Anolis sagrei: one gene and its partners. The protein of the gene in region 2 interacts with the protein of the main gene of each other region in a biochemical or structural test. Links are inferred from orthologs where the notes say so. Each region holds a gene or a part of one and is shown on either strand. Other genes may lie near its edges. The genes, in order: KCNA4, DLG4, RPS6KA1 and ADRB1.

Region 1 (7,961 bases), on a different chromosome or scaffold from region 2:
TGATTCTGTGATTATTCTTAGGATTGCTAAGTTTTGGGTATAGCAGTGGTCCAATAGGGGGAGGAGGGAGCATCCTTAAACAGTGGTAGAATGACTGCTATGGGCTGCAAGTGATGGGGGCATGATTGTTGTTGTGTGTTCTAAAGTCATTTCGGACTTATGGTGATTCTAAGTCAAACGAACAGTTTCTGGGACAGAGTGGAGAATCAAAGTCTGGTCTTTGGAGTCATAAATCAATGCTCAAATCAGCAGACCTGCACTAGTTCTCATATCTATTCTTCCCACATAAAACTCCTTTCTTTTCTGTGGCCTACACAGCGATCTCAATGGTCCAAATTTTATCTTTTTAAAATCAGAGCTTTTGAGCTTTTTAATTGGAATGTTCTTATTAAAGACAATTTATAATTTAGTTTAGAATCTTTATTCCAATAATTAATAGATTAATACAGGTTGAGTATCCCTTATCTGGAATTTAGAAATGCAAAATACTTCAACATCTGAAATCCTCTAGGTGAGTGGGTCCAATAGTGATATCTTTGCTTTCTTATGGTTCAGTGTACACAAACTTTGCATCCTGGACAATATTATTGAAAAAAAATTAGGCCAGACCTGCACAACAAATGGCCCGTGGGCTACTTGTAGTCTGCCAAAGGATTCTCGACCTCTTAAAGAGGCTGCTACTCTCACCACTTCCCCTGTTGCCAGCCCTTCCAGTTGCTTGACATCACACTCTGACTCTCCCAAGCTACCTTGTATAGATGCCACCCCTTCAAGCCTCAGGGGCTCCAGGCGTCCATCCAGCCACTGCTTGAAAGCTCAGGGCACCACAGGCTACCACAATCCCTGGTTACCAGGTGCTATTCTACACACATACATGGTTTGTAGCCTGATGAAACCTATCAGAAATCCTGGAGGTGTGAGGAATGGTAGAAGAGCTGGTCATTCATTTCCTAGGGCACATTAAGGGTGCATCTACAATGCACCTGCAGATAGATTCTATAGTAGAATGGATGCAATTTGACACCACTTTAACTCCAATGTCTCAATGCTATGGATTCTTAGTAGTAGTAGCTTGGTGAGATGCTAAAAACCTGTGTTTGAAAAAGTTTAGCCTAGTTTAATTTTGGCCCCTCCCTACTACAGTGCTGTGCATGTCTGTTGTAGGCAGTTACCTTCAGATGATGCATGTAAGGTGCAGAATCTAGAAGGCTTGGGTCTCACTCAGTGCTGGATTTAGGACAAATGAGGCCATGTGCTAGTTCAGTTAGGAGGGTCCTTCCTTGGGTCCTGAAGGAGGTTGGCCCAGCAGGCCTCCACTGACTGCTTCGTGTCACACTCCCATAGACTATCAACTCTATCATTATGCCTGGAATGGCTCAGAAACTGTCAATATTTGTTTTAGCAGAAAGGGGTCCCTGTACTTCTACACCACTAAACACAATGGCAAATCTGGGACTGGTCCCACCACGTGGATCCAAAATAGGTCTTCACGGCCACTTATGAACCCACTGTTTTGTCTCTACTCTTGGACGACAGTCATACCTGGAAAGGAGTGATCACCCATGAAGATATGCAAGTGTTCGGGGGGGGGGGGGGGGAGCCCTGGAACATGAAACACTTTTGGTCACAAGCATTTCAGACAAAAGAGGCACAGTGTTGCTGGGAGTTTTCCAGGCTGTATGGCCATGTTCCAGAAGCATTTTCTCCTGATGTTTTGTCCACATCTATGGCAGGCATCCTCAGAGGTTGAAGACTCTATTGGAAACTAGGCAAGTGAGGTATATATATCTGTGGAATGATGTCCAGGGTGGGAGAAAGGACTCTTGTCCGCTTGAGGCAGATGTGAATGTCTAAAATCAGGACAGTTAATAAAGAACAACACTAAAAAAGCAGGGGAATTCCATGCAAAAATCAATCAAGGCCACCTAACACCTCCCAACAAAGGATTTCCCTAGGCAGCAACTAGACAGTCTTTGAAGCTACAAGGTCATTAAAATGCTAATCAAGGTGGCCAATTGCAACCGTCACAATTTCCTCAAGCAGACAAGAGTTCTTTCTCATCCTGGACATTCCACAGATATATAAACCTCACTTGCCTGGTGCCCCTGGTGGGTTTAACCCTTGTCCTGGCAGGACTGCTGACCAATAGGTCACTGGTTTGAATCCAGGGAGAGCAGGCTGAGCCCCCTCTGCAGATGGCCAATTCTCTCACACCTGAAGTGACTTGCAGTTTCTCAAGTGGCTCCTGACACACACACACAAACCTCTTGCCTAGTTTCCACCAGACCCCTCAACACCAGGACAGAATGCTTCTGGAACATGGCCATACAGCCCAGAGAACTCTCAGAAACCCAGTGATTCTAGCCATGAAAGCCTTGAGGCCTCATCACACTAGACTAGAGAATGAATCCACTTCATGGACTGGGCTGTGGCACAGCTAGTTAGTAGCCAGCTGCATTAAATCATTACTGACCAAGAGGTCATGAGTTTGAAGCCAGCCTAGGGTGAGAAGGGCGGAATATATGGGCCGGAGGTTAAGCACAGCTGGGAAAACATCAGTAATTATAAGATCTATCAACCAAAAGGTTGCAAGTTCGAAGCCCTGGGTTGGTGTGAGCTGCCAACTGTTAGCCTAGCTCATTGTTTACCTAAGCAATTTGAAAACAGCTTTAGCTGTGATTAGAGAAATTAGGTACCGCTAAAAGTGGGGGAGGTGTTTTATGATGCCATAAAGAAATAAGATCAGAAAATGCTGGGCGACCAAAAGAAGGAAGTCCTAATGGCTCTTCGTCATAGAGGATAGAGCAACAGCATCCCCTGGGCTTGAGCTCAACCTCCATGGCACCTCCTTCTGTTCTGTGTATTGTCTATACAAAGTGGCATTGAATGTTTGCCGTGTATGTGTACTGTGATCTGCCCTGAGTCCCCTTTGGGGTGAGAAGGGTGGAATATAAAGGAAGTGTTGTTGTTCATTCGTTTAGTCACTTCCGACTCTTTGTGACCTCATGAACCAGCCCACGCCAGAGCTCCCTGTCAGCCATCACCACCCCCAGCTCTCTCAAGGTCAAGCCAGTCACTTCAAGGATGCCATCTATCCATCTTGCCCTTGGTTGGCCCCTCTTCCTTTTTCCTTCCATTTTCCCCAGCATCACTGTCTTCTCTAAGCTTTCCTTTCTTCTCATGATGTGGCCAAAGTACTTCATCTTTGTCTCTACTATCCGTCCCTCCAATGAGCAGTCAGGCTTTTTTTTCTGAAGTATGGACTGGCTTGATCTTCTCTTGGTCCAAGGCACTCTCAGAATTTTCCTCCAACACCACAGTTCAAAAGCATCTATCTTCCTTCGCTCAGCCTTCCCTATGGTCTAGCTCTCACATCCATAGGTGACTATGGGGAATACCATTGCTTTAACTATGTGGATCTTCATTGTCAGTGAGAAGTCTCTACTCTTCACTATTTTATTGGTCATTGCTCTCCTCCCAAGAAGTAAGCGTCTTCTGATTTTCTGGCCACAGTCTGCATCTGCAGTAATCTTTGCACCTAGAAATACAAAGTTTGTCACTGCCTCCATGTTTTCCCTCTCTATTTCCCACTTGTCAATCATTCTTGTTGCCACAATCTTGGTTTTTTTGATGTTTAGCTGCAAACCGGCTTTTGTGCTTTCTTCTTTCATCTTGATTAGAGGCTCCTCAGCTCCTCCTCGCTTTCGGCCATCAAAGTGGTATCAGCTGCATATCTAAGGTTTGTTTGTTTGTTAACTGTTTTTATCTGAAATATGTGGCCTGCCCATTGTCATCACTACCATGTTTGTGTTTATTGGAATGTTTATTTTATTTTAATGTCATTTTGATAATGTTGTTGTTGTTTGTTTTATATGCTTTGATTTTATTGCTTTATTGATTTTATTGCCCCATGTAAGCCGCTCCGAGTCCCATTGGGGAGATGGTGGCGGGGTAGAAATAAAGTTTTGATTGATTGATTGATTGATAAGGTTGCTAATGTTTTTTCCAGCAATTTTAACCCCAGCCTTGCATTTGTCAAGCCCTGCACATCGCATGACGTATTCTGCATGAAAGGTGAATAGGTTGGGTGAGAGTATACAATCTTGCTGTTCGCCTTTATTATTATTATTATTATTAATAATAATAATAATATAAATACTGTAAATAAGCAATAAATAAATAAATAAATAAATACGGTTGCCGCGTCCTGCAGAACTCTGTGGTTTGTAGTTTAGGAAGGAGCCTTTAACAGCCTCACTAAACTACAACCCGCAGAATTCTGCAGGAGGCAGAAACCGGATTTGAAGTGGATCCATTCTCTAATGCAGGGGTCCTCAAACTAAGGCCCAGGGGCTGGATGTGGCCCTCCAAGGTCTTTTACCCGGCCTTTGTTCAGGGTCAACGACTTGAAAGCACACAACAACAACAACAATCCTATCTCATCAGCCAAAAGTAGGCCTACATTTCCCATTGAAATACTAATAATTTTATATTTGTTGAAATTGTTCTTCATTTTAATTATTGTATTGTTTTAAGTATTTTTTGCACTACAAATAAGATATGTGCAGCGTGCATAGGAATTCATTCATTTTTTTTCCAAATTATAATCCGGCCCTCCAACAGTTTGAGGGACTGTGACCTGGCCCTATGTTTAAACAGTTTGTGGACCCCTGCTCTAGTGTGATGAGAGGACCAGACAAAGGGGGCACAATCTGTACGTGGGGCGGTGCTGGGGTTGGGGAGGAAAAGGGTGGCAGGTGCTGAGGAGGCGGCTGACCGCTAGGGGCCGATGGAGAGCTAGCAAACCTGCGGAATCAATCAGACCGAGCCCCGCCGTTCTGTCCATCAGCGGATGCGTAAACACAACTGCGACTTGGGCAGGCGACTCCTTCTCCCGAGCGAAGGTGTATCGGGGAAAGGGAGGGAGGGAGGGAGAGAGAGAGGGAGAGGGCGACGAGCGGGCGAGAGAGAGAGAGAGAGAGAGAGAGAGAGAGAGAGAGAGAGGCCAGGCGCAACAGAGCGCGCAAAGCAGCGTAGGCGCAGGAGGCGGCACGGGAGCATCCTAAGAAGAGGAGGAGGAGGAGGAGGAGGAAGCAGCAGCAGGAGCAGCGCCTTCAAGGAGCGGCCCCCTCCCTCCGGCTCCCCGAACGGCCCCCTCCCTCCCTCCCTCCCACCCTGACCAAGATTATTCCGAGGAGAAGAGGAGGCACGCGCGGAAACAGAGCGGCAGCCACGACAATAACAACCAAAACAACAGCAACAACAAGTGGACGCGATTGCCTCGGGAGCGAAATCGGGCGAAGCGAGCCACCGCAAGGCAGCGGGGAAGGAGGAGGCAGGAGGGGACGGCCGCAAGGCAGCGCGCGGCGTGGGTCTGCGAGGCGCGTCTCCTCTTTTCCTGCCAGTAGCAACAGCCAGCTTTCCTCGGGGAGAGAGGAGCGGGGAGAGAGGAGGAGGAGGAGGAGGAGGAGGAGGGCGCCTTCCCCAAGGCCTTGGCTGGCAACAACTGCTTGGCAGAGGCGCGCGCGAGGGAGAGAGGCCGGTCCCCGGGCCACGAGCAGCTCCCGCCCATCTCGCCCAGTCCAGTCTGCTTCTGCGGGAGGCGGCGGCGGCGTTGGATGCCTTCTTTCCCTCAGGGATGGCTATGGGGTCAAGCACAGCGGGAAAGGCAAGACGAAGTGAGCTGCGGCGGGAGCGTGCCCGGAATGCCCCCTAGGACCAACCCTGGGGGTGGCCGTGCCCTGGCTTGCCTTCCCTTCCAGCCCGCGGCTCACACACCAAGGAGGCCCAGCCAAGCCGTCGCCCCTCTGCCTCGCTCCCCTCCTTCCTCCTCCTCCTCCTCCTCCTGAGCGCCGCACCTGTGAAAACAGGTTGCTCAGAACAGCCTCCCCTCCCTCTCTCCCCCCCCCCCCCCGCCCGTTCTTCTCTCGCTTTGCAGATCCTCAACGCTGCCTTTTCTCTGCCTACCGCGGTAAGTAGACAGGGATGGTCCTCCCTCGAAGCTTAGGGGCTATTTTAGATCTCGTTTTAAGGAGATTTTGTCTCTGAAGCATGCTTGTTTTTTTAAAGCCTCAATATGGGTAGTTCGCATGTGGGAGGCTCCGTTGCCTGGCTGCTTGATTCCTCATGCAGCACCACCTCTTCGCTCTAATATTGCCTCATGCTGCCCGTTTCTGTGCTTTTTCTCTCTCTCTCCTCCCTGGAGAAATGTGGTCATCCTTCCCAAAGACAGGTCTTGATTTGAGAAAGTGTATGATGAGCCTTCTCTCCCCACAGTGTGCTTACTGTCATCATGTTGATACATGTATTAAGGGCAGCGCTTTGTTCTAAAAGGATTCTGGGTGGCATTTGTCCATGTTTTTCTCTTGATTATATGTACGCATCCATTAATTTAAAGCCACGGTTGATCACTAACCTACAACCGTTTCCTACCAATCCAGGAGAGCCTTTTTAAATCCATTATACAGGCATAGAGAGCACAGTTGGGCTATTCCTGCAAATATCTCACTGTAAACACACACTGCAACAGAGGCAGACCAGATCTCTCTCTAGTGATAAAAAGCACTGTGTGTGAAACAGTGAATGCAGACAGAGAGCACAACAAGCTGTGCACCTCATTATGTTATAGTCATCACATCTATTCTGCATTCATGCTCATGTTGTTGTTCACAAGTAGATCTCTATATATATTATGTAATGCAGAGATACCTGCATTTCACAGTCTAGGTTTGTATTCAAAATCATCTCCCTAGATATTAAAAAACTCTGAGTGAGATGTGGGTGTGTGTATGCTTGCTTATTCTTCTAACTACATCTATATATAGTCAGATGAACATAGACACAGAAAGATTGTGTGTGCCGCATGTGGGTGCACAATGACAGGGAATGATGAGTAGTGCAAGTAGGCAAATCTGAGCCTTTGATGTGAATTACCTTAATCTGGATTATGATCAATCCTTTTCCCCATCCCCATTTTTTTGTTTTCCTGTATGTACCTCAGGTTACACATGACTGCTGCACAGGACTAACCGAAAGGTGCTCCATTCCTTTCTCTCCAATGGGAAACAAAGAACCAGTGTTTCAACCATCTCCTCCTCATCCACCTTCTCTCTCCATAATTGCTGTTCCAGCCAATGCTTTGCCCAGTTTGAAACACTGTTGAGAGACTGACGGATGTGGTTATGCTAAGACCTCCTCACTGTGTAAACAAAATGAAAACTGGAAGCTCCTTCAACTTTCTAAAGAAATTAATCAGCAATCTCATTTCTAAGCTGTTGTGAGAATACTGGCTGTTTTGCACGTGATTATGCGAGAACTCAAGAGCTTTTGTGAGGGGGAAAAACCTGTGCCCCATCTTCATTTGCTTAAGTGCATCGTTTGCATGATGCAAAACATTCAACACCATGAACTCAGAGCTATGGATTTTTCATAAAGCTCTGAAGAAAGACCTAGCCAATGTGTTTTCACAGATAAAAGGACACCATCCAGATATATTGTTTGGCTACTTCAGAAGATTCTGTACTGTACCTGTGAAAATATTCTTGAGGAATCTTTGTGTCAAAATCCTCTGGACCCTACCTAAGAAATGGAACTCTTGCCTCTGAGAAATCTATGGTGTGAAAACTCAAGTCTGCTGCTAGTCTGAGACAACACTTTTTCGAAAACATGGCTTTCCAAACTTTAGTGGTCTTGTCATTCTCATGCAAAGCACCCAGTGATAAAGGCTGAAAAAACAGACATCTTTTTTCCTTCTTAGTCTTCAAAAACAAGCACATACAACATGGAGGTTGCAATGGTAAGCGCAGAGAGCTCTGGGTGCAATAGCCACATGCCTTATGGATATGCAGCCCAAGCAAGAGCCAGAGAAAGAGAGCGACTGGCACAGTCCAGGGCAGCGGCGGCGGCAGCTGTAGCAGCAGCAACAGCAGCAGTAGAAACAGGTTCTGGAGGAGGAGGAGGGC
Region 2 (7,584 bases):
TTATCAAAAACAAGTCATGTCAGACTAATCTGATCTCTTTCTTCGATAGAGCTACAAGCTGGGTAGATGCAGGGAATGCCGTGGATGTAGCGTACCTGGATTTCAGTAATGACCTTCTGGCAAGGAAACTAGTCCAATGTGGGCTAGGCAGAACTACGGTGAGGTGGATCTGGAATTGCTTAAGTGGACGAACACAGAGAGTGCTCACTAATGCTTCCTCTTCATCTTGGAAAGAAGTGACAAGTGGAGTGCCGCAGGGTTCCGTCCTGGGCCCGGTCCTGTTCAACATCTTTATTAATGACTTAGATGAAGGGCTAGAAGGCAGGATCATCAAGTTTGCAGACGACACCAAATTGGGAGGGATAGCCAAGACTCCAGAGGACAGGAGCAGGATTCAAAACGATCTTGACAGATTAGAGAGATGGGCCAAAACTAACAAAATGAAGTTCAACAGTGACAAATGCAAGATACTCCACTTTGGCAGAAAAAATGAGATGCAAAGATACAGAATGGGTGACGCCTGGCTCGAGAGCAGTACGTGTGAAAAAGATCTTGGAGTCCTCGTGGACAACAAGTTAAACATGAGCCAACAATGTGATGTGGCGGCAAAAAAAGCCAATGGGATTTTGGCCTGCATCAATAGGAGCCTAGTGTCTAGATCTAAGGAAGTAATGCTCCCCATGCTCTATTCCGCCTTGGTTAGACCACATCTGGAATATTGTGTCCAATTCTGGGCACCACAATTCAAGAGAGATATTGACAAGCTGGAATGTGTCCAGAGGAGGGCGACTCAAATGATCAAGGGTCTGGAGAACAAGCCCTATGAGGAGCGGCTTAGAGAACTGGGCATGTTTAGCCTGAAGAAGAGAAGGCTGAGAGGAGATATGATAGACATGTATAAATATGTGAGAGGAAGCCACAGGGAGGAGGAGGGAGCAAGCTTGTTTTCTGCTTCCCTGGAGACTAGGACGCAATGGGACAATGGCTTCAAACTACAAGAGAGGAGATTCCATCTGAACATTAGGAAGAACTTCCTGACTGTGAGAGCCGTTCAGCAGTGGAACTCTCTGCCCCGGAGTGTGGTGGAGGCTCCTTCTTTGGAAGCTTTTAAGCAGAGGCTGGATGGCCATTTGTCAGGGGTGATTTGAATGCAATATTCCTGCTTCTTGGCAGAATGGGGTTGGACTGGATGGCCCAGGAGGTCTCTTCCAACTCTTTGATTCTAGGATTCTATGATCTGCACACATTATTTGCCGATGCATCACACAGTCCTAGATACTTGGAAAGTGTCTGACATGTGATCTAATACAAAAACCAGCATAGGAATGTTGTTGTGTTTCAAATAATAATAATATAAGCCTTCCTTTAATAATAATAATAATCATCATCATCATCTAAGCTTGCTTTTTGAAGATACCTAAAATGTCTAACAACAACAACAACAACATTGCAATGCCAGGTGACTGCGAAATTGATGAAAAACAACTGGAAAAACTTACACGATATGAGGATTTAAAGAATTGCAAAGACTCTGGCACAAGCCAATCAAGGGGGTCCCAGTGGTGATCGGCACACTAGGTACATTGCCTAAAGACCTTGGCTTGCACTTAAAACCAATTGGTGCTGACAAATTTACCATCTGTCGGTTGCAAAAGGCCACCTGACTCGGATCTGCACACATTATTTGCCAATACACACCGTCCTAGACACTTGGGAAGGGTCCGACGTGTGATCCAATACAACAGCCAGCAGAGTGACCTTTGCTGTGTAATTTTTTTTGTCATGTCAGGAGCAAGTCGTTTCTGGTGTGAGAGAATTGGCCGTCTGCAAGGACGTTGCCCAGGGGACACCTGGATGATTTGATGTTTTATCATCCTTGTGGGAGGCTTCTCTCATGTCCCCGCGTGAGGAGCTGGAGCTGATAGAGGGAGCTCATCCGCCTCTCCCTGGATTCAAACCTGCGACCTGTCGGTCTTCAGTCCTGCCAGCACAGGGGTGTAACCCACTGCGCCACCGGGGGCTCTGGCTGCTGTGTAATAATCTTGTGTTTCAAATAATAATAATAATTATTATTATTATTGTTATTATTTATTTATTTATCGTGTCATCAGCAACCATACCATTGTATTACAATTCTAACAGAACAAAACAAACACACAGATTAAAAAGGGAAAAGGGAAAAAAAAAACACGGATTTTGCAAACTTGGTAGTTGGTTAAATGTCCTTTGACCAGTATCTGGCCACTGGTATTGACGAAAAAAGGTCCTCCATTGTGCATGTGGCAGGGCTCAGGTTGCATTGCAGCAGGTGGTCAGTGGTTTGTTCTCTGCACTCGCATGTTGTGGACTCCACTTTGTGGCCCCATTTCTTAAGATTGGCTCTGCATCTCGTGGTGCCAGAGCGCAGTCTGTTCAGCGCCTTCCAAGTCGCCCAGTCTTCTGTGTGCCCAGGAAGGAGTTTCTCATCTGGTATCATCCACGGATTGAGGTGCTGGGTTTGGGCCTGCCACTTTTGGACTCTCGCTTGCTGAGGTGTTCCAGCGAGTGTCTCTGTAGATCTAAGAAAACTATGTCTTGATTTAAGTCATTGACATGCTGGCTGATACTCAAACAGGGGATGAGCTGGAGATGTCTCTGCCTTGGTCCTTTCACTATTGGCTGCTGCTTCCCAGCGAATGTCAGGAGGTGCAATACTGGCTAGACAGTGTAATTTCTCCAGTGGTGTAGGGCGCAGACATCCTGTGATAATGTGGCATGTCTCATTAAGAGCCACATCCACTGTTTTAGCGTGGTGAGATGTGTTCCACACTGGGCATGCATACTCAGCAGCAGAGTACCATAGCGCAAGGGCAGATGTCTTCACTGTGTCTGGTTGTGATCCCCAGGTTGTGCCAGTCAGCTTTCGTATGATGTTGTTTCTAGCGCCCACTTTTTGCTTGATGTTCAGGCAGTGCTTCTTGTAGGTCAGAGCACGGTCCAAAGTGACTCCCAGGAATTTGGGTGTGCTGCAATGCTCCAGTGGGATTCCTTCCCAGGTAATCCTCAGAGCTCGGGATGCTTGTCTGTTCTTAAGGTAATAATAATATTATAATAATAACAACAACAACAACAATAATGCAAGTGAAACAAACGGTAGAAGAAGAGGAACACGCACTGGAAGATTATGTGAAAGGCAATCAAGAACCAACATTGAGGGAAGTCAATAGCAGAAAACTGCTCAAAGTGCAAAAGACAAAGAGTGAATACTGTAAAAACACAACCCAGAGCAGAAGAGAAAACTGGCGAAAGAAGAAGGCTCTCCATGGACAGTTCCTGGGAAAAATTGAGAGTCAAATTGACAAAGAAAAAACATGGCTGTGGCTCACAAATGGGACTTTGAAAAAGGAGACGAAGGAGGGCCTGATTCTGGCAGCCCAAGAACAAGCCATTCGAAGCAAGGCCATCAAAGCCAGAATTGAAAAGTCGATGACAGATCCCAAGTGTAGACTCTGCAAGGAAGCAGCTGAAACAATAGATCCCATCCTCAGCTGCTGCAAGAAGATCGCGGACAGACTACAAGCAGAGGCACAACACCGATGTTCAGATGATCCATTGGAACTTGTGCCACAAACACCATCTACCTGAGACAAAGAACTGGTGGGATCACAAGCCGGAAAGAGTTACAGAGAATGAACACGCCAAACTCCTCTGGGACTTCCAGATTCAGACTGACAGAGTTGTGGACCACAAGACTCCTGACTTCACAATTGTGTTAAAAACCAAAGTATGGATTGTCGATGTCGCAATCCCAGGTGAGAGCAGGATTGAAGAGAAACAACTGGAAAAGCTGACATGATATGAGGAATTAAAGATGGAACTGCAAAGACTCTGGCACAAGCCAGTCAAGGTGGTCCCAGTGGTGGTTGGCACACTGGGTGCAGTGCCTAAAGACCTTGGCCTGCACTTAAACACAATCGGCTCTGACAAGATTACCATCTGCCAGCTGCAAAAGGCCATCTTACTGGGATCTACATGCATTATTCGCCGATACAGCCAGCAGAGTGATCTTGTTTGCTGTGCACTCATCTTGTGTGTTGTTGTTGTTCATTCGTTCAGTCGTCTCCGACTCTTCGTGACCTCATGGAACAGCCCACGCCAGAGCTCCCTGTCGGCCGTCACCACCCCCAGCTTCTTCAAGGTCAGTCCAGTCATTTCAAGGATGCCATCCATCCATCTTGTGTACCTAATAATAATAATAATAATAATAATAATAATAATAAGCCTGCCTTTTGAACATGCCACAAATGCCGTTACAAAACAGGGCAGGCTTTGGCAGGAACTGATTTTCAGAAACCTCACGTCCAACTTTCTGAACCGGAAAACAGCTGTGTGAGAGTAACTTCGGAGGGGTCAAGAGAGAAGAACTACACATCCCAGGATGCCTCGGAGCGGAGGAAGACGGGTCAGAGGTTGCAATCTGCTGGGCAAATCTCTTAAGCTGGCAGATGTTTGGGAAGGGAGATTAGGAGATTAAGGTTGTACATGTACAAACCGCCTGCGAGATGCCCGTGAACAGACAAGGTAAGGCCGAGGCCGGGTTCGCCTTTTGTGGATTATTATTATTTGTCCCCCTCTTTGGCAAATGGGGGGGGGGATATATTCAGAATATATTTGGGGTTTGGGGTGCAATTTTCCCTTAGGGACATTATGGCATGCTGTGATGTGGTACCAATATGGATAGGGAGAAACTATCCCAGGGGAGTACCCGACCAATAGCAAACAACGTGGATCAATTACTTGAGATATCAATTCCTTGCTCTCTTGTGTGCAGTTGATTGGGACATTGATTGATCATGTTATCCATACAGCAGAATAATAATAGAGTTTTTTGGGCTACATGGACATGTTCTAGAGGCATTCTCTCCTGACGTTTCGCCTGCATCTAGGGCAAGCATCCTCAGAGGTATTGAGGTCTGTTGGAACTAGGAAAAGGGGTTTATATATCTGTGGAATGACCAGGGTGGGACAAAGGACTCTTGTCTGCTGGAGCTAGGTGTGAATGTTTCAACTGATCACCTTGATTAGCATTTGATGGCTTGACAGTGCCTGGAGCAAACTTTTGCTGAGAGGTGATTAGATGTCCTTGTTGGGTTGTTGTATGTTTTTTCCGGGCTATATGGCCATGCTCTAGAGGCATTCTCTCCTGACGTTTCGCCTGCATCTATGGCAAGCATCCTCAGAGGGAGTGAGGTCTGTTGGAACTAGAAACGAGGTTTATATATCTGTGGAATGACTAGGGTGGGACAAAGGACTCTTGTCTGTTGGAGCTAGGTGTGAATGTTTCAACTGACTACCTTGATTAGCATTTGATGGCCTGGCTGTTGTTTGGTGTGGCTTGTTGGTGCATCAAGGTGGTCAGTTGAAACATTCACACCTAGCTCCAGCAGACAAGAGTCCTTTGTCCCACCCTGGTCATTCCACAGATATATAAACCCCTTTTCCTACTTCCAACAGACCTCACTACCTCTGAGGATGCTTGCCATAAATGCAGGGGAAATGTCAGGAGAGAATGCCTCTAGAACATGGCTATATAGCCCAAAAAAACCTACAACAACCCAATGATTCCTGCCATGAAAGCCTTTGACAATACAATAATAGTATAAATCTTGGATTGTTAAACCATTGATCCCTCAACCCAAACATTTCCCAAAGTCCATAGGGTAGGACTCCAATTCCCATCATCCCCATCAAATTTGGATTGAAAGACATTAGGAAGGACTTCCTGACTGTGAGAGCTGTTCAGCAGTGGAACTCTCTGCCCTAGAGTGTGGTGGACGCTCCTTCTTTGGAGGCTTTCATACAGAGGCTGGATGGCCATCTGTCGGGGGTGCTTTGAATGCAATTTTCCTGCTTCTTGGCAAAATGGGGTTGGACTGGATGGCCCATGAGGTCTCTTCCAACTCTAGGATTCTATGACTGAACGAGATGTATATCATCAATCATCCAACTTAGTTTGCTATGTTTTCTTTGGACTCGAAACTAAATTGCAAAAAAAAAGTTATGATTTATGCCTTATGACAGTGTTTCTTAACCTGGGGGTCGGGACACCTGAGGGGGTCGTGAGGGGGTGTCAAAGGGGTCGCCAAAGACCATCAGAAAACAGAGTATTTTCTGGTGGTCATTGGGATTCTGTGTGGGAAGTTTGACCCAATTCTATTGTTGGTCAGGTTCAGAATGCTCTTTGATTGTAGGTGAACTATAAATCCCAGCAACTACAACTCCCAAATGCCAAGGTCTATTTCCCCCAAACTCCACGAGTGTTCACATTTGGGCATATTGAGTAGCTGTGCCAAATTTGGTCCAGATCCATCATTGTTTGAGTCCACAGCACTCTCTGGATGTAGGTGAACTACAACTCCAAAACCCAAGGTCAATGCCCACCAAAACCTTCCAGTCTTTTCTCTTGGTCGTAGGAGTTCTGTGTGCCAAGGCTGGTTCAATTCCATCATTGGTGGAGTTCAGAATGCTCTTAGATTGTAGGTGAACTATAAATCCCAGTAACTACAACTCCTAAATGGCGAGGTCTATTTTCCCCAAACTCGACCAGTGTTCATATTGAATATTTGTGCCAAATTTGGTCCAGATCCATCATTGTTTGAGTCCACAGCATTCTCTGGATGTAGGTGAACTACAACTCCAAAACTCAAAGTCAATGCCCACCAAACCCTTCCAGTCTTTTCTCTTGGTCATGGGAGTTCTGTGTGCCAAGGCTGGTTCAATTCCATCATTGGTGGAGTTCAGAATGCTTTTTTATTGTCGGTGAACTATAGATCCCAGCAACTACAACTCACAAACAACAAAATCAATTCCCCCCAACTCCACCAGCATTCAAATTTGGGTGTATTGGGTATATGTGCCAAATTTGGTCCAGTGAATGAAAATACATCCCGCAGATCAGATATTTACATTACAATTCATAACAGTAGAAAAAAGACTGTTAGGAGGTAGCAACGAAAATAATGTGATGGTTGGGGGTCACCACAAATGAGGAACCGTATTAAGGGGTCGTGGCATTAGGAAGGTTGAGAACCACTGCTTTAAAGTTATTGATAATTTATTGCTAACACTTCCACTCTATAATTTCATGAATCCATTCCCCAATGTAGCTACTTCTCTAACTTTTGGTCACATTCCTATCCAAGACTTGGACAGCCATGGCTCCCAAAGGGACCCATTTAAGGTGGAATCAGGTGTCAAACAATGGAACCATGCGATTTGTAAGCAATGGAACCATGGGATTTGTAGTTTGGTGAGGTACCAGAGGAGCTTGGACCATTTCAATGGGCTTTATGTTCCTTTTGCAGCCTTACAATATCAGTCAATGGCTTTTTTTCCTTCTCGGTTGACGAAGGCATCCTTTTGCCGTGTTCTGCTGTGCAGCCATGTGCCACCCGCCCTATATTTGTAGATCAGTCTGTTCTGCTCTAAATGCAGAGCCGTGTTCCGTATTTACGGCATCTTCTTGCACTGAATTCAGGGATTCGTTCAGATGAAACCGTAGAAAGCTCCCCATTGATTGCTGTTCGCCCAGGGGCGGCTCGTCCA
Region 3 (7,543 bases), on a different chromosome or scaffold from region 2:
TTTGGCCTGCTGGGTGAAATGATGGGAGTGGTAGTCCACCGTCACTGGAAGAGTGCCAGGTTGGAGACGTTTGCATAATCATCTGTGTTTTATGATCTGTTTACCTGCTTCGTCTTTCTGGCACTGTGCTGAATCAAAGTGCATCAGGATTTCACTTGTGATTCAAACTGAGCTTCAAATGCTTGAATTCTCCATTATCGTTGTCAGGTGTATTGTCAATGTGCCAGTTTGCTAGAGATTGAAGCTTGAGATAATCCAAGCGATTAATGAAGGGGTGGAAATGGAACAGAACAGTTTCGTGCTTCTCCCCAAAGCTGTTCTGGGGTGCATTTGCAGGCACGTGTCTGTCCCATTAACTCAGTGGACGCTGGCCATTAACTTCTTCATAATACCAAGAATGACCTTGACAACTAGGCAACAGATATACTATCTGCCTTGTGCCTTTGGAGTAATTCAAAAGGAATGATTTGTTTTAAACTGTTTCCTCTATTTGCAGTTGACACACTTGACCTCTAGTTTGTTGATTTCCCAGCAGTTAAACCAGGGATCTCAGAACTCTTTCCAAGGATGATCTCTGTTATTGAGCCACAGTAAATCTGCCCCTCTTGGGAAAATTTATAGTTCATCAAGAGCACCGAAATAAATATATGATTTCTTCCTTTTCTTTTTTATTAAAAGCCCTTTCTGAAGGTTTGGAACTGGGCAAAGTTCAAGATCATCGAGAACGAAACAGTAGTAGCTATAACTCCCTAAAACTGTATTGCATCTTTTTTATGGTTGTTGTAGGCTTTTTTCGGGCTATATGGCCATGTTCTAAAGGCATTTTCTCCTGACGTTTCACCTGCTTCTATGGCAAGCATCCTCAGAGGTAGTGAGGTCTGTTGGAACTAGGAAAAAGGGTTTATATATCTGTGGAATGACCAGGGTGGGAGAAAGGACTCTTGTCTGTTGGAGCTAGGTGTGAATGTTTCAACTGATCACCTTGATTAGCATTTGATTGCTTGGCAGTGCCTGGAGCAATCTTTTGTTGAGAGGTGATTAGATGTCCTTGTTTGTTTCCTCTCTGTTGTTGTGCTGTTCTTATTTTAGAGTTTTTTAAATACTGGTAGCTAAATTTTGTTCATTTTCATGGTTTCCTCCTTTTCGTTGAAATTGTCCACATGCTTGTGGATTTCAATGGCTTCTCTGTGTAGTCTGACATGTTGGTTGTTGGAGAAGCCATTGAAATCCAGCTGTCCCCTGCCATGCATTGCTGTGACCCAGTCTGTTGATCTGGAAAATAAAGTAATGAGAAAGTGGTGGTTTCTAATATATGTAATTTCTTTATGCTTGTGGGTAAACAATATTTCTTGCTGTTTCTTTGTCAGTGTTGATGTGGAGAGTGTCTGGTTTGCCCATCCTGGAACATGCAATATATCATTGTCCTTCTTTAAGGGTCCCTTTGAAATCTATGATACTATATCTGTGTGTGTGTGAATCATATCTATCTATCTATCTATCTATCTATCTATCCATCCATCTATATCTATGGCTGGATGGCTCTTTGTCTGGAGGGCTTTGATTACGTTTTGTTGCCCTGATGAAGGGAGTTGGATTGGATAGCCTTAAGTATTTTCTGTTGGTCATGGGGGTTCCGTGTGGGAAGTTTGCCCCAATTCTGTTGTTTGTGGGGTTCAGAATGCTCTTTGTATGTGAACTTTGAATCCCAGTGACTACAACTCCCAAATGTCAAGGTCTATTTACCCCAAACTCCACCTGTGTTCATATTTGGGTGTATTGAGTGCTTGTACCAAGTTTGATCCAGATCCATCATTGTTTGAGTCCACAGTGCTCTTTGGATGCAGGTGAACTACAACTCCAAAACCCAAGGCCAATGCCCACCAAACCCTTCCAGTATTTGCTGTTGGTCACACAAGTTCGGCATGCTAAGTTTGGATCAATTCCATTGTTTATGGAGTTCAGAATGCTCTTTGATTGTGGGTTAACTCCCAAACTCAAGGTCAATGGCCACCAAAGGTCAATGCCCACCAAACCCTTTCTGTTGGTCAAGGGAGTTCTGTGTGCCATGTTTGGTTCAATTCCATCATTGATGGAGTTCAGAATGCTCTTTGATTGTAGGTGAACTGTAAATCCCAGCAACTACAACTCCCAAATGACAAAATCATAATTGTTTGAGTGATGGTCACTCCTTGGATTGTGAAACATTTTGTTGTCAAATTTGGTGTGATTTTGTTCATTGGTTCTTTTATTTTTAAGGTACTCATTATGCACAGAGCATTTATATATATATAGATAGAAGATAGATTGTTCTTTCATGGTTTTCTTGCATTGCACTACAAAACAAGTGCACTGTGCTGAGGAATTCATTCCATTTTTTCAAGCTGGAACCCAGCAGTCTGATTTGGTCCTTGGTTCAAAACGTTTGAGGACCCCTGCTTTCAGGAGTGGACTCCCCACTTTAAATCCCAAGGCTGCCTATTGCAGACTCCTGGGATTTGCTGGTGAGGGAGGAGCCTTAAAAATCCCCAGCCACAGAAACCCCAGGCTTGACTAAACTACAAATCCCAGAACCCTGCAGGAGACCCCTCTCTTGGAGGTTGCTGGGAGTGGCAGTTCAGCCTTGGGCTCCTGAGAAGTTCCTGGAGCTGGCAATTCGACCCCAGGGCCAGTGGCAGCCTTACCCTGGGGTCCCCCTTCTCCTCCTTATGGGGGATTTAGGGGGGTGGCAGTGCAGCTTTAGGCTTCTTCTCCTGGTGGATGCTGGAAGGTGCAGTCCAACATTGGCCTCCAAGATGAACTGAGCCACCTCAACTGGGCTCTACAGGCCAATGGATACTCCACCTCAGAAATCAGAAGAGCTGCAAGACCAAGAACAAGCCACGAGAGTCAAGATGAAGATCCACCCAGAGGAAAAGTGTTCCTGCCATACATCAAGGGAACCACTGACCGCATAGGGAAGCTGATGAGGAAACACAACATACAAACAATCTACAAACCCACCAAGAAAATCCAACAAATGCTACGTTCAGCAAAGGACAGAGGGATCCACTCACCTCTGCAGGAGTCTACCTTATACCATGCAGCTGTGGACAAGTCTACATAGGGACCACCAAACGCAGCATTGCCCAGACACGAATCAAGGAACATGAAAGGCACTGCAGACTGCTTCAACCAGAGAAATCAGCCATAGCAGAGCACCCAATGAAGCAACCTGGACACAGCATATTATTTGAGAACACAGAAATGCTGGACCACACCAACAACCACCATGTCAGACTACACAGAGAAGCCACTGAAATCCACAAGCATGTGGACAATTTCAACAGAAAGGAGGAAACCATGAAGATGAACAAAATCTGGCTACCAGTATTAAAAAACTCAAAAATTACAACAGCAAAACAACAGAGAGTAAACAATCAGGCACATCAATTCACTCTCAACAAGAGATTCCCCCCAGGCGCTTCCAGGCCATTGAATGCAAATCAAGGTGATCAGCTGAAACATTACCCTGGTCATTCCACAGATATATAAACCCATTTTTCCTACTTCCAACAGACCTCACTACCTCTGAGGATGCTTGCCATAGATGCAGGCGAAACGTCAGGAGAAAATGCCTCCAGAACATGGCCATATAGCCCGGAAAAACCTACAACAACCCATTGGCCTCATGGTTGCCTGGGCTGGGCGCCTCCTCTTGGCGGGAATCTGGAAGTAGCTCCAAATCTAGGCCCCGCCTGTGGGCGGGCAGTGGGCGTGGCCTCTCAGCCCTGAGCTATTAGGCCCCGCCTCTTGAAGGACTGTGGGTTGGCGCTCCAGCCTTAGGACCCGCCTCTGGAATGGCGGTGGGCGTGTCCTCAAAGCTGTAGGCCCCGCCTCTTGAAGGAATGTGAGCGTGGCGCTCCCCCTGTAGGCGAATGGTGAGCGTGGCCTCCCAAGCCGGAGCTTCTTGAAGGATAGTGGGCGTGTCCTCCAAGCCCACAGCCTTTTGAAGCGTCCTAAGCCTGAGTCTCTTGAAGGACTGTGGGAGTGGCGCTCCAGGTTTGAGATGGTGGTGGGCGTGTCCTCCAAGCCTTGAGCCCCTAGGCCCCGCCTCTTGAAGGACAGTGAGCGTGGCCTCCCAAGCTTGAGTCTGTAGTCCCCGCCTCTTGACAAAGGGTGGGCGTGGCTTCCCAGACTTAGGCCCCGCCTGTAGGCGGGCGGTGGGCATGACATCCCATGCCTGAGTCTCTAGGCCCCGCCTCTGGGCGGACGGTGGGCGTGGCTTCCCAGACTTATCCCCTCCTTCCAGCAGGAGTTCCGCACAGACGCTGCGGTCTGGCGGGAAGAAGAGAGCAGCTTCGTTCTCTCCCTCAGCTTCGGCGGGAAGACAGGCAGGCATTGCGGCTCCCGCTCGGAGGAAGAGGCCGCCGCGATGCCGCTCGCGCAGCTGGGAGCCGAGCCCTGGCCGGAGGGGAACATGGAGCTGGTGGACATGGAGCTGGACGAGGCCGAGGTAGGCAAGCACGGAGGGAGGGAAGAGGGGGCGCCGCGGACCCCCGGGAGCAAGGCCCCGCCAGGCCGGACCCTTCCCTCTCCTATCCCCCCTCCCTCCACCGTCATTAGAGTAACCCGACCCTCTGCATCGACCCTATCGATCCCTATCGTGTCCTTCCCTGTAAGAGCCCTGGCGTCCTCCTTGCCTGCCTACCTTCCTGGGTTTGGAAAGAGTTGAGCAACTGGAAAGCCTTGCCTGGCTCATTGAGAGGGGCAAGGAGCCCCCAGGTTACAAACAAGGGTTGTGCTTAAGTTGCATATGTACGTAATTCAGAACAGGTACATTTCTTCAAGGGTAACTCCAGCTAAACATACACACACACGCGCGCACACATATATATCAGGCATGGGCCAACTTTAACCCTTCAGGTGTTTTGGACTTCAAGTCTCACCATTCCTTACAGCCTCAGCCCCCTTCCTTTTCCCCCTCAGCCACTTAGGGGCATGGGCGAACTTTGGCCCTCCAAGTGTTTTGGACTTCAAGTCCCACCATTCCTAACAGCCTCAGACCCCATTCTTTTCCCCCTCAGCCACTTAGGTGTAACTCCAGCTAAACACACACACACACACACACGCACACATATATATATATATATCGGGCATGGGCCAACTTTGGACTTCAACTCCCACCATTCCTAACAGCCTCAGCCCCCTTCCTTTTCCCCCTCAGCCACTTAGGGGCATGGGCGAACTTTGGCCCTCCAAGTGTTTTGGACTTCAAGTCCCACCATTCCTAACAGCCTCAGATCCCATTCTTTTCCCCCTCAGCCACTTAAGTGTAACTCCAGCTAAACACACACGCACACATGGGCCAATGTGTGTGGCATGGGCCAATGAGCCCTTCTGGTGTTTTGGACTTCAACTCACACCATTCCTAACAACCTCAGGCCCCTTCCTTTTCCCCCTCAGCCACTTAGGTGTAACTCCAGCTGAACACACACACACACACACACACATATATATATATATATTGGGCAAGGGCAAACTTTGGCCCTCCAAGTGTTTGGACTTCAACTCCCACCATTCCTAACAGCCTCAAACCCCATTCTTTTCCCCCTCAGCCACTTAGGTGTAACTCTAGCTAAACACACGCGCACACACACACACACCTTCCTTTTTCCCCTCAGCCACTTAGGTGTAACTCCAGCTAAACACGCACACACACACACATATATATGGCATGGGCCAACTTTGGCCCTCCAAGTGTTTGGACTTCAACTCCCACCATTCCTAACAGCCTCAGGCCCCTTCCTTTCCCCCCTCTGCCACTTAGGTGTAACTCCAGCTAAACATACACACACACACACACATATATATATATCAGGCATGGGCCAACTTGAGCCCTTCAGGTGTTTTGGACATCAACTCCCACCATTCCTAACAGTCTCAGACCCCATTCTTTTCTCCCTCAGCCACTTAAGTGTAACTCCAGCTACATACACAGACACACACACATATATATATCGGGCATGGGCCAACTTGAGCCCTTCAGGTGTTTTGGACTTCAAGTCCCCCCATTCCTAACAGCCTCAGACCCCATTCTTTTCCCCCTCAGCCACTTAGGTGTAACTCCAGCTAAACACACGCGCATACACACACACACAAACACACACACACACACACACATATATATATATAGTGCATGGGCCAACTTTGGCCCTCCAAGTGTTTTGGACTTCAAGTCCCACCATTCCTAACAGCCTCAGACCCCATTCTTTTCCCCCTCAGCCACTTAGGTGTAACTCCAGCTAAACACACGCGCATACACACACACACAAACACACACACACACACACACATATATATATATATAGTGCATGGGCCAACTTTGGCCCTCCAAGTGTTTTGGACTTCAAGTCCCACCATTCCTAACAGCCTCAGGCCCCTTCCTTTCCCCCCTCAGCCACTTAGGTGTAACTCCAGCTAAACACACACACACACACACACACACACAAATGTATCAGGCATGGGCCAACTTGAGCCCTTCAGGTGTTTTGGACTTCAGCTCCCACCATTCCTAACAGCCTCAGACCCCATTCTTTTTCCCCTCAGTCACTTAAGTGTAACTCCAGCTAAACATGCACACACATATACATATGCATGGGCCAACTTTGGCCCTCCAAGGGTTTTGGACTTCAACTCCCACCATTCCTAACAGCCTCAGGCCCCTTCCTTTTCCCCCTCAGCCACTTAAGTGTAACTCCAGCTAAACACACACAAACACATATATATCTCGGGCATGGGCCAGCTTTGGCCCTCCAAGTGTTTTGGACTTCAACTCCCACCATTCCTAACAGCCTCAGGCCCCTTCCTTTTCCCCCTCAGCCACTTAAGTGTAACTCCAGCTAAACACACACAAACACATCTATATAAATAAAAATGTAATGTTCGTTTGTGATATTCACAGAACTCAAAAACCACTGGACAAATTGACACCAAATTTGGACATAATACATTAACAACCCAATGTATGTCCTTCACTCATAAAAACACCAAAAAACAAAAGTCCCAAAAAGCTAAATGATGAAAAGCTACATGACAATACAGAAAAAAAGGAAGAAAAGGAGGAAAAGAAAGGAAAGAAAAAAGGAGAAGGAAGGAGAGACGGAAAGAAAAAAGGGAAACAAGGAAAGAAAGAGGGAGCGAAGGAAGGTGGGAAGATGTAGAAAAGGAGGGAAGGAAAGAAGGAAAGAGAAAAAGAAGAAAAGAGAAAGCAGAAGAGGAAGAAAATGGGGGAAGGTAGGAAGAAGGGAAGGAAGGAAGGAAAGAGGGAGGGAGGGAAGGAAGGAGGGAAAGAAGGACAGAAAGAGGGAAGGTTGGCCACAGCAACGCGTGGTGGGCACAGCTAATATATATATATATATATATACACACACACACACACACACACATACACACACACACACATATATATATCTGGCATGGGCCAACTTTGGCCCTCCAAGTGTTTTGGACTTCAACTCCCACCATTCCTAACAGCCTCAGGCACCTTCCTTTTCCCCCTCAGCGA
Region 4 (8,062 bases), on a different chromosome or scaffold from region 2:
TATCTGCAGGGTTATGTCATCTGCACATTTAGGTGAGCACGAGACTGGCATGAGAATCAACATTGCCTGACCCAGAATTTAGCTGAAGAAACAGGAAGGAAGAAAAGAAAAAAAGCACTCTGTTTTTGGCTGCTAGAAGTGTTGCCAAACAACAAAACTACCCCACCACACACTTGCTATTTCTTGCAACCTGTTTCCTCATATATAACCACTTTGCACCTCAAGCAAGGGATAAAAGTGTGATACAAATATAATAATAATATCAACAATATTAGGAGTAGAAATTTGTCAACAAAATGATTTTTACCACTATTCACCACTGAGTCTCTTCAGATAAAAAAGTAGTATGTAAACAAAAAGGAGGAAAAAGAGGAAGAAGGAAGAGAAGGAGAAGAAGGAAGCAGGTGTAGTAGTTCTTAAGGCCCCTTCTATCCTGCCATATAATCCACATTATCTGGATTGAACTGGATTACATGAGTCTACAAAGCAGATAATCTAGATTTTATATGGCAGTGCAGAAGGGGCCCAAGAAGAAAGATTCCATTTGGGGGCTTAGAGAAATAGTAAGCAAAGGTGTGTATGGACACAATAATAAACATCAGGTGTGTATAAAGTGCTGCATGATACACAAAAAGTGTGGAAGCCAGTGTGATTCTGGTCCCTTCTACACAGACATATAAAATCCAGATTATCTGCTTTGAACTGGATTATTATTATTATTATTATTATTATTATTATTATTAAGGAAACTCAAGACTTGGCTGTGGGACCTTGCATTTGACCATTGAAAAGAGGCTTATATGAAGAAGACATAAGCAATTTCGAAGTGACAATGAATTGACCCGGACCCAGATTTTAATTGGCGTGTTTTAACAACTGTTTGCTTAATGTTTTGTTTTAATAAATTTGTTGATTGTTTTTATCATTATGATGGCACCAAATGGTGTTTGCTGTGAGGCTGTCCTGAGTCCCCCCTAAGGGGGGGGGGGTGAGAAGGACAGGTTACAAGTATATGAAATAAATCAATAAATCATATGGCAGTGTAGACTCATATAATCCAGTTCAAGCCAGATAATGTGGATGATATGCTTTGATAATCTGGATTATATGGCAGTATGGAAGGGGCCACAGTGATTTCAGAGTTGCGGTAGGACTGTAAGAACAGAGTTCAAATCTACAAATGGCATGGATATCCACTGGATGACCCTAGACAAGTCACAATCTCTTGGCCTAAGAGGAAGGCTAAGACAAACCTCCTCTGAACAAATCCTGTAGAGCCAGTGTTTTGTAGTAGTTTGAATATTACAGCCTTATCACACAAGGCAAAATAAGCATCCTAGGACACTTCTGCCCCAGTTCAACCATGGAGCCCCACACTGCCCATCATATGACATCGGGCGACTTCTGGTGGGGCTTCATTGATGAACTGGGGCATCAGTGTGGAAGGACTACTACAAACACAAAGGTAGCCCCATGTTCCATAAGAAACAACACATGGGATGAGGAAGCATCAGTTGCTGGCTGGGGCTCCGGGATTGCCCCAATACTACCCTGATTTGCCATGGATGCTGGCGAATCACAATCCTGGTAAGACAGCATGTGATGAGGTCCTTAGACTGTGTACAGACCAGGATTTGAATCCCTGATCTGTCATGGAAACCCTCTGGATGGCCTTGGGCAAGTCACATTCCCTCACTATCTTAGGAGAAAGCAACCTCAGAAGGTAAGCTTCCCAATAATGCCATAGCACAGCAATCGTCTGGTTAATTACACATTTGTGTGTGGGGAGGGGGGGGAGGGAGGGAGAAAGATTGTGTGACTAGTGTTGCAGTCAGACCTCTTTATATGTGAGGACTCAGTTCTGCAGATAGGAAGAAAACCGAATCCTCTCTTTTAAACTTGTCCATAATTACTGATAGTCATCAGAGGGCTTGATGCATATCTTGCCACCAAGGATGTATCCATGACTAGACTTTTTCTTTCTCAGCATCTTCATCATGTAAATCCCTCCCTTGGTGCTTGACCTTCTCTTTATCATACCATAAACGGGCAGCTAAGACTATTTGATTCGGTTGGCATTTAAAATGAGAACCAGCCTGGTATAGTAGTCTGAGGACTACACTTGACTTGAAGCCATGGAAACCCACCGGGTGATTTCGAGCAAGTCATACTCTTTCCATCTCAGAGGAAGGCAAAGACAAACCTCCTCTGAGCAAACCTTGCTAGGAAAACCGTAAGATAAATTTGCCTTAGGGTTGCTGTAAGTCAGAAAGGATTTGAAGGCACATAATAACGTAACTAAATGTTGCACTACTAGATCTTAAAATGGGGAACATTCAGTGCATCCATAAGGAAGACTTGCAGCAGCAACAACAAACATCCAAAGGGAGTCAGGGCGTTTTTCTCCCTATAATAACATCAATCATATTGCTAATTTGAATGGTGATAGTAATGATTAACTTTCTAGCCTGCCTTTTCCCTCAGAATCAGGACTAAAAAGGGGGGCTAACCTTGCAACAGAGGCTCATTTCAAGAAGCGCAATGATGAAGCATTCATTCAGGGCAGGTAAACAGAAATCCTTCCACAGCTCCTTCCTAAATGCTTCCCCCAAGATTTGTTTGGATGGCTTTTAATGGTGTTGGGAGGAACAGCAAGAAGAGCTGAGGTTGGTGGAGAATGCCTGTGGCTCTGGGATGCCTTCAGGATCTCAATTAAAGCTTGTGCACCAGTTGCACCTGTATCTTGAGAAGCCAGACCCACGCTCTTGTTACATCAAGAATAGATTACTGCAATGCACTCTATGCAGGGTTGCCTTTGAAGACTGTTCAGACGTTTCAAATAACCCAAAGGGCAGCAGCCAGATTCCTCACTGGAGCGGGGTATAGGGAGCACACAACCCCTCTGTAACGTCAGCTCCACTGGCTGCCAGTCTGCAACAGAGCACAATCTGAAGTGCTGGCTTTATCCTATAAAGCCCTGAATGGTTCTGGCCCAGCTTACCTGTCAGGGCCTTCTAAGTGGTGGCTCCTCGACTCTAGAATTCTCTCCCCAGTGAGATTAGATCAGCCCCCTCCCTCCTGACTTTTAGAAAGAGAACAAAGACATAGGACCAAGCTTTTGACTGGTAAAGTAATGCAGTACAAGAAGTAAATATGGAATATGTGCAATTGACATTTGCTGGAAGGGAAGGGAAGGGAAGGGAAGGGAAGGGAAGGGAAGGGAAGGGAAGGGAAGGGAAGGGAAGGGAAGGGAAGGGAAGGGAAGGGAAGGGAAGGGAAGGGAAGGGAAGGGAAGGGAAGGGAAGGGAAGGGAAGGGAAGGGAAGGGAAGGGAAGGGAAGGGAAGGAAGGAAGGAAGGAAGGAAGGAGAGGAAGAAAAGAGAGAAGGAAGGAAGGGTGGAATGGAATGAAGGGAGGGAGAAAGAGGGAGGGAGGAAAGAAGGAAAGACAAAAGGGAAGGAAGAAGGAAGGAAGGAAGGAAGGTAGGAAGAGGGGGGGAGAGAGAAGGAAGGACAAAAGGGTGCAAGGGAAGGATGGAAGGAGAGGAAGGGAGGAAAGAAAGAAGGAAGGAAGAAAGGGTGGAATGGAATGAAGGGAGGGAGAAAGAGGGGGGAGGAAAGAAAGAAGGAAAGACAAAAGGGAAGGAAGGAAGGAAGGAAGGAAGGAAGGAAGGAAGGAGAAAGAGGGAGAGAAAAGGAAGGAAGGACGAAAGGATGGAAGGGAAGGATGGAAGGAGAGGGAGGGAGGGAGGAAAGAGAGAAGGAAGAAAAGTTGGAATGGAATGAAGGGAGGGAGAAAGAGGGAGGGAGGAAAGAAAGAAAGAAAGACAAAAGGGAAGGGAAGGGAAGGAGAAGGAAGGAGAAAGAGGGAGAGAGAAAAGGAAGGAAAGATGAAAGGGTGGAAAGGAAGGATGGAAGGAGTGGGGGAGGGAAGGGAGAGAAGGAGGAAGGAAAGAGAAGGAAAGACAAAAGGGAGGGAAGGAGGAAAGGGTGGAAGGGAAGCGAAGGGGAGAAAGGAAAGAGAGAAGGAAGGAAGGAAGGATGAAAGGATGGAATGGAGAGAGGGAGAAAGGAAAGGAAGGAAGAAGGAAAGGATGGAAGGGAAGGAGAATAGAGAGGGAAGGAGGAAGAAAGCGAGAAGGAAGGAAGGATAGGCTGTTGAGCGAGAGGAGGGCCTGAGAAAGGGCCCAAGGGCCCACATCTGGTCCCCAAGCCTGGGTGTGCCCATACCTGGGCTATATAGCCTCCTTTGCCCAAAGGGTGCTGCTGTGTCTCACAAAGATCTCACAGCATGGAGCTATGGCTGTCAAGTTGCATCCCTTCAAGCCTGGAAAGGCAGCCTGAAGCAGCACTAACTGCCGCCTCCACTGCAACTTAGCAAACCGGGGGGGGGGGGGGGGGTCAGCCATAAAGAACTGTGCTGTCCCTAGGTTTGGCTCCAGGGGGAGGACGAGGGACAGGAGGAGGAGGATGAGGAGGACAGAAGAGGGCGCATTCAAGGGCATTCATTCGGCCACCAGAGCTGAAAGCGAAAGGCTTCCAGAGAGGGAGGGGGGAGAGAGAGAAAGAAGAGGAGAGGGACAGAGAGAGAGAGAGAGAGAGAGAGAGGAGGGAAGGAAAGCAATACAGGGATAAAAAGTGAGAAGGGGAGAGAGAGAGAGAGAGGAGGGAAGGAAAGCAATACAGGGATAAAAAGTGAGAAGGGGAGAGAGAGAGAGAGAGAAAGAAGGGGAGGCACACTGAGAGTGTATGTGCATGAAGGAGAGTGGGGGGTATAGACGAAGGGGGAGGTGAAGGACAGAGTGTGAGAGAAGAAGGGAGCGGGAAGGACAGGAAAAGAGGGCCAAGAGGGACCTAGAGATAGGCAGACGGGCAGGCGCAGAGAGATAACGCTTCCGAGAGAAACGTGGACTCCAGGGCGAAGGCAACGCTCTCCTCGAGCCCTCGTGGGCGCCTGGAGCTGCCTTCCTCCTGGTCTCCCTCTCCTCCTCCTCCTCCTCCTCCTCCTCCTCCCTCAGCCCCCCTTCTTCCAGAGGAACCCCTTCAGTCCTGCCTCCCCCTCCCTCTCTCCCTGCCTGAGTTCTCCGAGGGCTCGCCATTGGCTGCCCGGGTGCCGACGTCACTGGAGGGGGCGGGAGGCGTCTTCAGAGGCGCGGGAGCCCGCCGGAGAGGCTGGCTCGCGCAAACCATGCTGGAGCCCCGGAGCAAGTGGCGGCGGTGGAGGCGGCGTCGGAGGCGCTCCCAGCAGCGGCAGCAGCTGCTGCCAAGAGCCCGGCTCTCTTCCTCCTCCTCCTCTTCCTCCTCCTCTTCTCCTTCCTCCTCTTGGATGATGCCCTGAGCGGCCGGACCCCTCTTGCTGCTCTCCGCCGGACAGCCATGGGAGATGGCTGGGTCTTCCTAAGCGAGAGCCTCCAGAACCGGTCCAACTCCAGCGGTGCCCAAGGCAACGCCTCGTCCGCGCCCAGCCCGGGCGCCTTGCCCCTGGCCCCCAAGGAGCTGTCCCAGCAGTGGGTGGTGGGCATGAGCCTCCTCATGTCCCTGATGGTGACCTTCATCGTGGTGGGCAACGGCATGGTCATCGCGGCCATCGGGCGCACCCAGCGCCTCCAGACCCTCACCAACGTCTTCATCACCTCCTTGGCTTGCGCCGACCTGGTCATGGGATCCGTGGTGGTGCCTTTTGGGGCCACGTTGGTGGTGCGTGACACCTGGCTCTGGGGCTCCTTCCTCTGCGAGTGCTGGACCTCGGTGGACGTCCTCTGCGTGACGGCTAGCATCGAGACCCTCTGCGTCATCGCCATCGACCGCTACTTAGCCATCACCTCGCCTTTCCGCTACCAGAGCCTCATGACCAAGAAACGGGCCAAGGTCATTGTCTGCGTGGTCTGGGCCATCTCGGCCCTGGTCTCCTTCCTGCCCATTATGATGCAGTGGTGGAGGGACGACGACCCCGAAGCCTTATTGTGCTACGACGACCCCGGCTGCTGCGACTTTGTCACCAACAGGGCCTACGCCATTGCCTCCTCCATCATCTCCTTCTACGTCCCGCTCTCTGTGATGATTTTTGTCTACATCAGGGTCTACCGAGAAGCCAAGGAGCAGATGAAGAAGATCGACAAGTGCGAGGGGCGTTTCTACAACAACCACCACCAAAAGCAGCAACACCAACAGCCGCCAACCCACCAGCAGCTGCCTATCCTGGGCAACGGTCCGGCCACCAGGAGGAAAACCTCCCGAATCTTGGCCGTACGGGAGCAGAAGGCCCTCAAGACCTTGGGCATCATCATGGGGGTCTTCACTCTGTGCTGGCTGCCCTTTTTCTTGGTCAATGTGGTCAAGGTCTTCAACAGAGGGCTGGTTCCAGATCAGCTCTTTGTTTTCTTCAACTGGTTGGGTTACGCCAACTCCGCCTTCAACCCCATCATCTACTGCAGGAGCCCTGATTTCCGGAAGGCCTTCAAGAGGATGCTGTGCTGCCCAAGGAAAGTGGACCGGAGGCTGCATGCCACTACTGGGGATCTCTCTCGGTACCCGGGGGGCTTCATTAGTACTCTCGGAGATACTGCCCCATGCACTCTTGGAGGGACGTGGTCCGATTACAATGGTGGTGCCCGGGATGGAAGTGACTCCAGCTTAGAGGACAGGAACAGTAAAACCTCCCATTCAGAATCCAAGGTATAAGGGCAGTTTGGTGGGAAGGATCAGAGTTCGTGGTCAGTCCTGTGGAAACGGAAAGGGAGCTGAAGGAATAGACAGAACAGGAAGGAAGGAATAACTAAATCACTTGGGAGTCTGGCTAATGTACAAATCACCTGATTGACTTGCCATTATGGGGGAGAGAGTTGTATTTATCCTAGAGGGAAAGCAGGTGAACTTGGCTGTTCCATACCTCTTCTGAATCACCCGAAATGGAAGCAAACAGAGAGCATCTGGCCATTGAACAAAAGAGGTTAATGATCCACCTCCCACCCCCATCCCAACCTCCAAGATATTTGGATTATTAGTATTTACATGGAGGAGAGTTGCATGGAGAAACGGGGAGGGAGGCGTGAGTAAGTTTGAAGGAGTTTGCCAAACAAATGGCTTGTGAAGAGCTGGACTTGTAGCAGGCACTTAGGCTGAAAGTCACTGAAGGAGGCAACCAGGGTGTGTATTCCTTTGCCAATAATGGAAGGAAACATCATTGAGCCCTTGGTGGTTTGATTGGAGACTATGCTGGTTTTACAAAAAATGTTCTTTACATTTATCCCAAGAACTTAGCACAAAAAGTAGCCTCTTTTCAAAACATATATCGATATGTATCCTTTTCTGAGAAGTGCTGGTCACCCATATAAATCCATTGATACCAGCATGACTTTCGTGCAGGCAGTCAAAACCTTTTGCAAATCCATTCTAAAAGGCTCCTTTAATATGCTGTCGGGGGTAAATACCTTGGCGAGTTTTATCATGAGCCTGTGCGTATTTAGCAGAATTGAGTTGATGGAAGTTACCCTCAAGTAAATGTGCATTAGCTTACAGCCTTAATATCCTCGTGGCCACATTCTCCTTAACATCCTAGGAGGAAATGATCAATCAGTAATATTGACATGTTGTGTATTCTAATCAAGTATCTCCTTATTTCTGATCCATATTATATCCCATTGACTTGTGGGGTGGGGTGGGGGCTGAAGGTGCATTCTTCTTGTCCTACGAGACAACAGCAATCAGGCTACAAATTGTCTACCTCAAGCTGTGCATATTGTACAGGGGAAAACGTGTTTATATTAAACCGCTTATTTATGTCTTGTCAGTTAGGGGTTTGTTTTGTTTTCCATAGAGACAGAAGCATCCATCCTCTAGTAATCCCTTCATTCACGCTGAAAGGTGAGAGGGGAAACTGGGCTTGGAGCATTAAAAATATTGGGTTGTTGTGTGTTTTCCAGGCTGTATGGCCATGTACCAGAAGCATTCTCTCCTGATGTTTTGCCTGCATATATGGCAGGCATCCTCAGAGGTTGTGAGGTCTATTGGAAACTTGGAAAATTGGGTTTATATGTCTGTGGATTTCATGAAAATGAACAGAAT

Evidence for each region.
Region 1: the proteins of DLG4 (region 2) and KCNA4 form a complex in vitro, tested with the Homo sapiens proteins (8 studies listed by BioGRID and IntAct, with this or other methods). The link is inferred for Anolis sagrei from reciprocal best matches to the Homo sapiens genes DLG4 and KCNA4.
Region 3: the proteins of DLG4 (region 2) and RPS6KA1 interact in a test that uses a peptide from one of them, tested with the Homo sapiens proteins (2 studies listed by BioGRID and IntAct). The link is inferred for Anolis sagrei from reciprocal best matches to the Homo sapiens genes DLG4 and RPS6KA1.
Region 4: the proteins of DLG4 (region 2) and ADRB1 form a complex in vitro, tested with the Homo sapiens proteins (2 studies listed by BioGRID and IntAct, with this or other methods). The link is inferred for Anolis sagrei from reciprocal best matches to the Homo sapiens genes DLG4 and ADRB1.

Annotation. Positions count from the first base shown.
Region 1 is NC_090021.1:259,341,395-259,349,355, forward strand, and holds the start of KCNA4 (potassium voltage-gated channel subfamily A member 4), read left to right. Parts: upstream 1-4,813; 5' UTR 4,814-5,971; intron 5,972-7,000; 5' UTR 7,001-7,780; coding exon 7,781-7,961. UniProt on the Homo sapiens protein: Voltage-gated potassium channel that mediates transmembrane potassium transport in excitable membranes. Forms tetrameric potassium-selective channels through which potassium ions pass in accordance with their electrochemical gradient.
Region 2 is NC_090026.1:4,290,387-4,297,970, reverse strand, and holds the start of DLG4 (disks large homolog 4), read left to right. Parts: upstream 1-4,487; 5' UTR 4,488-4,541; coding exon 4,542-4,560; intron 4,561-7,584. UniProt on the Homo sapiens protein: Postsynaptic scaffolding protein that plays a critical role in synaptogenesis and synaptic plasticity by providing a platform for the postsynaptic clustering of crucial synaptic proteins.
Region 3 is NC_090034.1:73,338,520-73,346,062, reverse strand, and holds the start of RPS6KA1 (ribosomal protein S6 kinase alpha-1), read left to right. Parts: upstream 1-4,287; 5' UTR 4,288-4,411; coding exon 4,412-4,492; intron 4,493-7,543. UniProt on the Homo sapiens protein: Serine/threonine-protein kinase that acts downstream of ERK (MAPK1/ERK2 and MAPK3/ERK1) signaling and mediates mitogenic and stress-induced activation of the transcription factors CREB1, ETV1/ER81 and NR4A1/NUR77, regulates translation through RPS6 and EIF4B phosphorylation, and mediates cellular proliferation, survival, and differentiation by modulating mTOR signaling and repressing pro-apoptotic function of BAD and DAPK1.
Region 4 is NC_090023.1:206,905,281-206,913,342, reverse strand, and holds the start of ADRB1 (beta-1 adrenergic receptor), read left to right. Parts: upstream 1-4,811; 5' UTR 4,812-5,374; coding exon 5,375-6,673; intron 6,674-8,062. UniProt on the Homo sapiens protein: Beta-adrenergic receptors mediate the catecholamine-induced activation of adenylate cyclase through the action of G proteins. This receptor binds epinephrine and norepinephrine with approximately equal affinity.